2 linked regions of the Mus musculus genome follow. The protein of the gene in region 2 interacts with the protein of the main gene of each other region in a pairwise test. Links are inferred from orthologs where the notes say so. Each region holds a gene or a part of one and is shown on either strand. Other genes may lie near its edges.

Region 1 (3,742 bases), on a different chromosome or scaffold from region 2:
CACATTGCTACAGAAGCACAAACAAACGCTGGTGTGGTCTCCTCCACACATGCAACTCATTGTCCCAGCCATTTCAGCCTCATTCAAGTCTGAATATTTCCATACATAGGAACTGCATAACTGCACACCACAAACGATCAAAGATAAAAACCAACATAAACAGTGACACCCGTCTATAAACATGCCAGTGCTGTAAAGGCTGCAGTCCTAAAGGATACCAAGGTCTCAGGGGAAACTGAAACACACACACACACACACACACACACACACACACACACACACTAGAAAGCAACCAAACCAACCATAATTAGGCCCTGGCTTTGCTGACTACTGAAAACAGAAATGTCCCTTTTATATATAAAGCCAAGAATCAACTGTTTGCAGTTATGTTTATAAGACACTCAAACCAGCTTGTCATAGATTTTTTTTAATCAATATTTTGATATAAAAATTCAAATTTCTTTAAATCATAGAGAACGTAGCCAGACAACCAATTATGTTTGTGGAGTCCATTTCCCAGAGGTCAGAGCAAAATAACCACAGAAGCAGACAGGGGAGAGAAAACAAGGGACAGAGGCATTCTGTTTGTAAACACAAGTTTGACTAGGCCAACAGTAAACACACTGTAGGGGGTAAGGAGATGCCGGCTTCGGCTCCAGCTGCGGACCTGAGGGAGGGACTGCAACAGGAGGGCGCACTTGAGTCTGTCACAGGGCTCTGAAGACTTGAGGCTTGAAGGGGTCCCACCAGAGGAAGTGAAACTGACCAATCACTCTGCCCGCCGCCACCCTCGGAAGAAGGGCCCCTTGTAGTCTTTGACAGAGAGAGGCAAGGAAAGGAACTTTCAGGTTGCCAATAAGCAGGATACGAGGCCCAGATAAGTCCTGGCAGGGAGGGACTGCTATAAAAGCCAAAACAAGGTAGGCTAAGGTAAACAGCGGCCAGGGGGAGGAGGGGAGGGGAGTCCTGGGTCTCCCGGAGGAGCATGCTTAGGTAGTAAAGGTTTTTCATTAGCCAGGCGGAAGAAAAACTCAAGCTACTGTTTTAAATATAAGGAATGACTACTACGTTAAAAGTATCCATTTAAGTGAGGTATTGAGCAAAGACGAGTTGGGAATTCAAATGGGTTTTGTGGCTTCCATCAAAACTGAATGATTTTCCTTGATACTCTCAATGAAGAAAGATAGGTAAAAGTGCTACCCTCTGAGTCCTTTAAAAAATATACTACATGCGTATACATACATGGTTTCCTAACTGACCTTGGCCAGTTTCACTACTACAGCTCCTCAAATCCCTTGGGAACCAAAGGGCCCAAATGAGTGGAATTCTGTCGTGCCAATCCCACGGTTCCCTTCCCTACTGAAAAGCCCACCCCGAGTTCTAAAAAGCCCACCATTTCAGACCCTCTGACAACTAAAAATAACCAGCAAACCATCTTATCCTAAATTGTTTAACCCTTGGTTAGCTAGTGTCACCAGGAACCCTGAGCCTTGGGACATCTGGTCATGGGTCCATTCCATTTTTTTCCCCCTTATTTCCCTGCTTTCTTCACTGACTCTTCCCATAATCAAGTATACTTCCTCAGGCTTACAACTGACACCATCTCCCCGTCTTAAATAATCAAACGTGGATTCCTTTCTCTGGTATAGGTGCCAGGTCCTTCTCTTCCCGGTGTCTTGCACCCCACCGCACACCCTCAGCCCCATGCCCCAGCCGTCCTGGGAAGCCTGAGGCAGCCAGTTTGCGCGTCTCCCCCATCCTGTGGTCCACATTTCATATGCCCCTGCCCTCGTTCTGATGGTTTCCTAATTGCTGGTTCCGGAGTCTTCCTGGCGTGCAGTCCGCCGGCCCCCAGAGAGTTCCAACGCCTCCTTTCCAGTCACCCCCCCCCCCCGACCCTGCGCACAGCCCTGGGGACCTCTCCGATGTCCAGCTGCTAAGTTCCCGGAGCCCCCCCTTCCGGAACCCCTCCGCTCTGAGGTCCCTGCCTTCTCCCGCCAGCACCGGTCCCCACTGCTGACCCTGACCCGAGCCCCGGGGAATCGCGGACTCCCCTGGCCCCACCGCCCTGCTGCAACGCCCCCCGGGCAGCGCAGCCCGCAGCCGCGCGGTCCCCAGCGCCACTACCTTGGCCTTGGTGACGAGGTGCGTGGCCCGCTTGACCACAGCGAAGTTGCCCTTGCCGATGGTGCGGTCGATCTCGTAGTAGCCGATGCGAGCGGCCATCGACCCGCGGGAGGCCGGGGCTGTGGGACGCGCCGGGACGGCGGCCGGGGGCACTGCGGCGGGGGCTGCCGGGGGCCCCGCGGCGGGCGGAGGCAGCAGGCGGCCGGCCGGCCCGGCTCCCCCTGCTCCGGCCACGGCAACCCCGCCAGCTCCGCTCGCCGCCGCCGCCGCCATCTTGTTGTGCAGTGAAACCTCCGGGGCCGCGGGGAGCCGGCCGGGGGGGAGGGGGCGCGGGGGGGCCGAAAGAGGGGGGTTGCCGACAGACGTCACTCCGGGAGGCGGGGCTCCCGCGCCGCCGGGCGCCCGACGCCATGGCAACCGCGCGTCACGTGCGGACGCGCGTCACTGCCCGAAGCCATGGCAACCGTGACCTCACCGGGCGAGCTCGACCTTCCCGCGTGGGTCCCTGTTCCTGAGGCGCCGGCTCCCTAGTGCCCCCCTCTGGGGAACAGGCATTGAAAACGTCGAGGGTCAGCAGCAACTTCTAAGCTTCCGCCGCGCCTAGCGAGGTAGGGATATGAGATGGGGAGACCCCAGAACCAGACTCCCGATGGCCCCTGGTTCGCTGATGGGATCCCTGCTCCGACCTGTGTCCCAGTTCAGTCATCACCAAACCTCCCTTAAAAGGATTTCCTCGTCACCAAAAATACCAGCCTTGTCCCACTTTAGCCCTGGAGGCCACAGAGGCAGGAATAGCTACAGTATTTAAGCAACTGTAACCAAGTTGGTAGCAAGGCAGGGGAATTGTTCAGCAAAAACTCTTACAAAGCCCAGCTCACTTCGTACAATCAATCTAATAAGTCATCGAACACAGAAGAGTGCGGAAATTAGAGTTTGCATATTCAAGGATGTTGAACCCATCCCAAACATGCGTTCCAGTCTTTGGGTGGGTGAGGGCCAGAAAAGGACCGTCATTTTCCTTCCTGCCACCCCTGACTCGGAACAATTCTCCAGCCAGTTGGTCAGAATCTCTTCACTCGTTTTCTGTTGCTGGGTTAGTACTGGTGAAGTGTGTTGCATTCAGGGCCACGTCATGCTTAAAGATGAGCAATCCGTTAAGCAAAACGAGTAACTAATATAAATTCCATCCCTACTAATGACTCTCCAAGGACATTAAGAGTGATCAAATTAATAACCCCTGCAATAAAACTCATATCCCTCTTTCTTCCCTCCTGTTATCTGACATTCCACATCCTGGGCTGTAACTGAGCCTCTCCCCCTCCTCCTTCCTTATTAAGTAGATTGATTTATCTGCCTCTGGTGGGGATAGGAAATTGGGCTGTAAAGGAGAGATAGCCTTTGGTCCGTTAGAAAAGGAAGGAAGAAGGCTGTGTGCATTCCTCTATATAATTGTATCTCATGTATCCAGTGCTATTCTACCCACACCTGTATCTCCCTCCATGGCACAGGAGTATTGTCACATCTCTGTGCAGTATCAAAAAGTGACATCCAGGTCACTGGGTATGTGAGAAAGGAAATACATGCTTACCCTTTCTGACCACAGGTCTTTCCCCAA
Region 2 (3,742 bases):
CATGTGGACGTGTGGCCCTTAAACCTGCTGAGGCCCCGGGGTGGACCTGGCTACGTGGACGTCTGTGGCCTTTTTCTGTTGCAGATGGCTACCATCTTAAGCATGGTGCCTGCCTGGCACAGTGCCCGGCTCCGGATCTTCCTGTGCTTGGGGCCCAGGGAGGCTCCTGGGGCAGCAGAGGGAAGGCTTCGGGCCCTGTTGAGTCAACTCAGGATCCGGGCAGAGGTGCAAGAGGTGGTGTGGGGTGAAGGGGCAGAGACTGGCGAGCCTGAGGAGGAGGAAGGGGACTTTGTGAATGGTGGTCGAGGAGACGAAGAGGCTGAGGCTCTAGCTTGCAGTGCCAATGCCCTGGTGCGAGCACAGCAGGGGCGAGGCACCGTAGGAGGCCCTGGGGGACCCGAAGGAAGGGATGGGGAGGAGGGACCCACCACAGCCCTTACCTTCCTGTACCTGCCTCGACCGCCTGCTGATCCTGCTCGCTACCCCAGATACCTGGCACTGCTGGAGACCCTGAGCCGTGATCTGGGTCCCACCCTTCTTATTCACGGGGTCACTCCGGTAACCTGCACTGATCTCTGATGCCTGTTCATACAGGGTTGGATAGAGCGGGCCCAGGCTCATTCTGAGCAATGGACGCCCCTCCCCCCGCCCCAAGTGGGCCCTGCCCTTTGGATGATGTGTTAAGGGGACCATGGTCTCCTTTGGGCGGGGGAACGGACATAGTACACTAATTCTAGGTGGCTGCCCCATTGTAGGGGAGGACATTGCGGCCCTGTCCCTGGTCTTCCTCCGCTTCCTTCACTGGTGCCTTGACCAGAGGGGCTGGCCTCTTCTGTGACTCTAGGCTACCTCAGTGTCCCCATCCTGGCCACAGACGCACCGCCTCCCTCTCCCCGACTTCCTTGGGTGGTGATGTTTGTGTTTTGTTTTATTTTTCTAACTACTGACCATAAATAAAAGACCGAAACACTATGGGCTGGTGGAGCACTGCTGGTGGGTAGGTGAGAGGCAGCCGGGTGGGAAGGGAGAGAACCGTGAGGGGGTGGAGACAGATGCGTTCAGAGCCTGGGCCGAGAGGCTGCCACGTGCAAGACTGGGGCAGGGATCCGAGAGAATTGCTGGGCCAGAGCCTCTCAGAGCGGCCTGCAGCCCACCCTGCAGCTTGGCTCCGGAGGAGGGCGGTCTTCTCTTAACAGGAGGGGGCCAGAGAGGGGAAGGATTGTAGAATAAGGCTTGGGGCCACGTGACCCTCCCCTGGAATGTGGTGACGTCAGGGGGCGTGGTCGTCTCCAAAATTGGGGAGGAAGGGAGGAAAAAAAGCCAGAAAAAGTTTCTTTGCGGGAGTCCCAAACGGGGCGTGGGACAGTAAGGGAGGGAAAGGGCCCAAGGCTCCGAGCTCCAGGCTCTGAGCTTGTGGGGACCCTGACCTCTGTCTGGAGTGGAGTAACCCTATTCCAGACCATGTCCGGGCCCACCTGGCTTCCCCCGAAGCAGCCAGAACCCTCCAGACTCCCTCAGGGGAGATCGCTGCCCAGAGGCGCCCTGGGCCCGCCAACGGCCCACGGAGCAAGTAAGTGTTCCTCTCTCACACACGCCGGAGTAGCAGAAGAGCCGCTGGCCACCTTCCTTCACCTTTTCTCCCTTGCCTGCCTGCTTCCTGCTGTCCCTTTCCCAAACCAGAGGCCCCAGCTCTTGTGCAACTTTCCCTGACTCTTGGTTGATTCCCAGACTCCCGGGAATGTGAAGAAGGAGAGCCACCCTTAGAAGGGCAGCTCTACCGAGGTACCCTTCTCCAGTCCCACCTCCTGTCTCTCCCTTTAGCACTCCAGCCTCACCCCAGGGTCAACTTTTGCCCCCTCCCGCCTGAACACTGTTATCAGCCTCCGGGGGTACCGGAAGATCGGGGGCCTACTTGGGTGGGATCCCATGGAACACCCCAGCGCCTGCAGGTGAGAAGTGGAGATGAGGGTAGGGTCTCTCAGGGTCAAGGTGAAAGAAGTCTAGGTCGGGGGTGTCATCAGCATTTGTTCTTCCTCCTTTCCCTCTGTCTCAGGGGCTCCCTCCAGACAGGGGGATCATCCGCCCTGGCAGTCTGGATGCTGAGATAGATTCGCTCACCAGCATGTTGGCTGATCTGGACGGGGGTCGCAGTCATGCACCTAGGCGGCCAGACAGACAGGTGACTTCCTGTGTTCTGTCTCTGCTTCCCCATCCTCAGCCAGTTCCCTGCCCTAGCTTCTCAGCCTCAGTCCACCCTCTTCACTGCCCACCTACCCTCTTTGCAACTAATAAACACCTGGTTCAAGGAATCACGCACTTCCTCCTTGGCAGGCCTAGGCCATGGGAACTTGTCAGAAGTCATTGCTACCCTGGGGTTCCCACCTGGCACGCATGGATCTTGGGTCTGGCTTTACTGTTTCTGCATTGCTTGTCTTCCCAGGCTTTTGAGGCTCCCCCACCCCATGCTTACCGCGGAGGCTCCCTGAAGCCCAGTGGAGGTGCTGTTCCAACCCCGATGCTCCCAGCATCCCACTATGGTGGACCTACCCCAGCCTCCTATGCTACCGCGAGCACGCCAGCTGGCCCTGCTTTCCCTGTACAAGTGAAGGTGGCTCAACCTGTGAGAGGCTGTGGACTGCCCAGGCGAGGGGCCTCTCAGGCCTCTGGGCCTCTTCCAGGCCCCCACTTTCCTCTGACAGGTCGTGGTGAAGTCTGGGGGGCTGGCTATAGGAGCCACCGAGAGCCAGGACCGGGGGTTCCGGAGGGACCTTCTGGAGTACATATCCCTGCAGGAGGAGGGAGAGGAGGTGGGCATGAGCCTCAGGTAAGCTGGGGCTGGGCACTGTGGTTTGTGGTCACCGGAAGTAACTGGGCATTGATTAGGTGGCGTGGAGGCCGAGGAGTACTTAAGATACTGTTTTTAGGAGATGTTGGTAGAGTGCTTGCTTAGTATGCAGGAATCCCAAGGTTCTAGACCCAGCACTGTATAAACCAAGTGCGGGGGAGGTAGAGGCAGGAGAATCAGTAAATTAAGGTCATATTTGACGCACATAATGGGTTCCAGGCCAGCCTAGGCTATATGAGACACTGTCTCAAATATAAATAAGTGCATAAGTCAATCCCAGTTTTAAGGTACTCAGAGGTCAAGGATCAAGATGTCCAAAGGGAAGGGGCTTCCTTTCCCCCTATCAGCTTCTGAGAGATGTCCTCTGAGATTTTGGGGTTCCTGACTGTATGAGTTATTTATGGTGTCTGAGACTATAGGCAGCGCCTCAAAGCCCCAATTCTCACTCTAGGGCCCCTTAGGCCAACCTCCTGAAGAGGAACTGGAGAGACTGACCAAGAAACTGGTGCATGACATGAGCCACCCTCCCAGTGGGGAGTACTTTGGTGAGCTGACTGCTGGATAGGGTGGAGACAGGGAGGAGACAGAGGATCTGCTGTTGTGGGTCTGTGGAGGCTGATCTCGTTCCTCTCTGTCCTCAGGTCGGTGTGGTGGCTGTGGCGAAGATGTGGTGGGCGATGGAGCTGGGGTTGTGGCCCTGGACCGTGTCTTCCATATTGGTTGCTTTGTGTGTTCTACCTGTCGGGCCCAGCTCCGGGGCCAGCACTTCTATGCTGTGGAGAGGCGGGCATATTGTGAGAGCTGCTATGTGGTGAGCGGCTGGGCTGTGACAGAGGGATGCTAAATGAAGCATCAAGTCAGACAGGCAGGTTCCTGTCTAAGAGAGGGCCAGATACT

What was found.
Region 1: the proteins of Trip6 (region 2) and Sik3 interact in binary tests that used the Homo sapiens proteins (3 or more experiments, as listed by UniProt). The two-hybrid records come from large-scale screens. The link is inferred for Mus musculus from reciprocal best matches to the Homo sapiens genes TRIP6 and SIK3.

Annotation. Positions count from the first base shown.
Region 1 is NC_000075.6:46,011,516-46,015,257, reverse strand, and holds the start of Sik3 (serine/threonine-protein kinase SIK3), read right to left. Parts: upstream 2,439-3,742; 5' UTR 2,401-2,438; coding exon 2,128-2,400; intron 1-2,127. UniProt on the Homo sapiens protein: Positive regulator of mTOR signaling that functions by triggering the degradation of DEPTOR, an mTOR inhibitor. Involved in the dynamic regulation of mTOR signaling in chondrocyte differentiation during skeletogenesis.
Region 2 is NC_000071.6:137,311,788-137,315,529, reverse strand, and holds the start of Trip6 (thyroid receptor-interacting protein 6), read left to right. Parts: upstream 1-1,288; 5' UTR 1,289-1,461; coding exon 1,462-1,570; intron 1,571-1,821; coding exon 1,822-1,949; intron 1,950-2,053; coding exon 2,054-2,179; intron 2,180-2,440; coding exon 2,441-2,824; intron 2,825-3,296; coding exon 3,297-3,390; intron 3,391-3,486; coding exon 3,487-3,656; intron 3,657-3,742. Other genes in the region: Slc12a9 (solute carrier family 12 member 9), read left to right, coding at 1-579. UniProt on the Homo sapiens protein: Relays signals from the cell surface to the nucleus to weaken adherens junction and promote actin cytoskeleton reorganization and cell invasiveness. Involved in lysophosphatidic acid-induced cell adhesion and migration.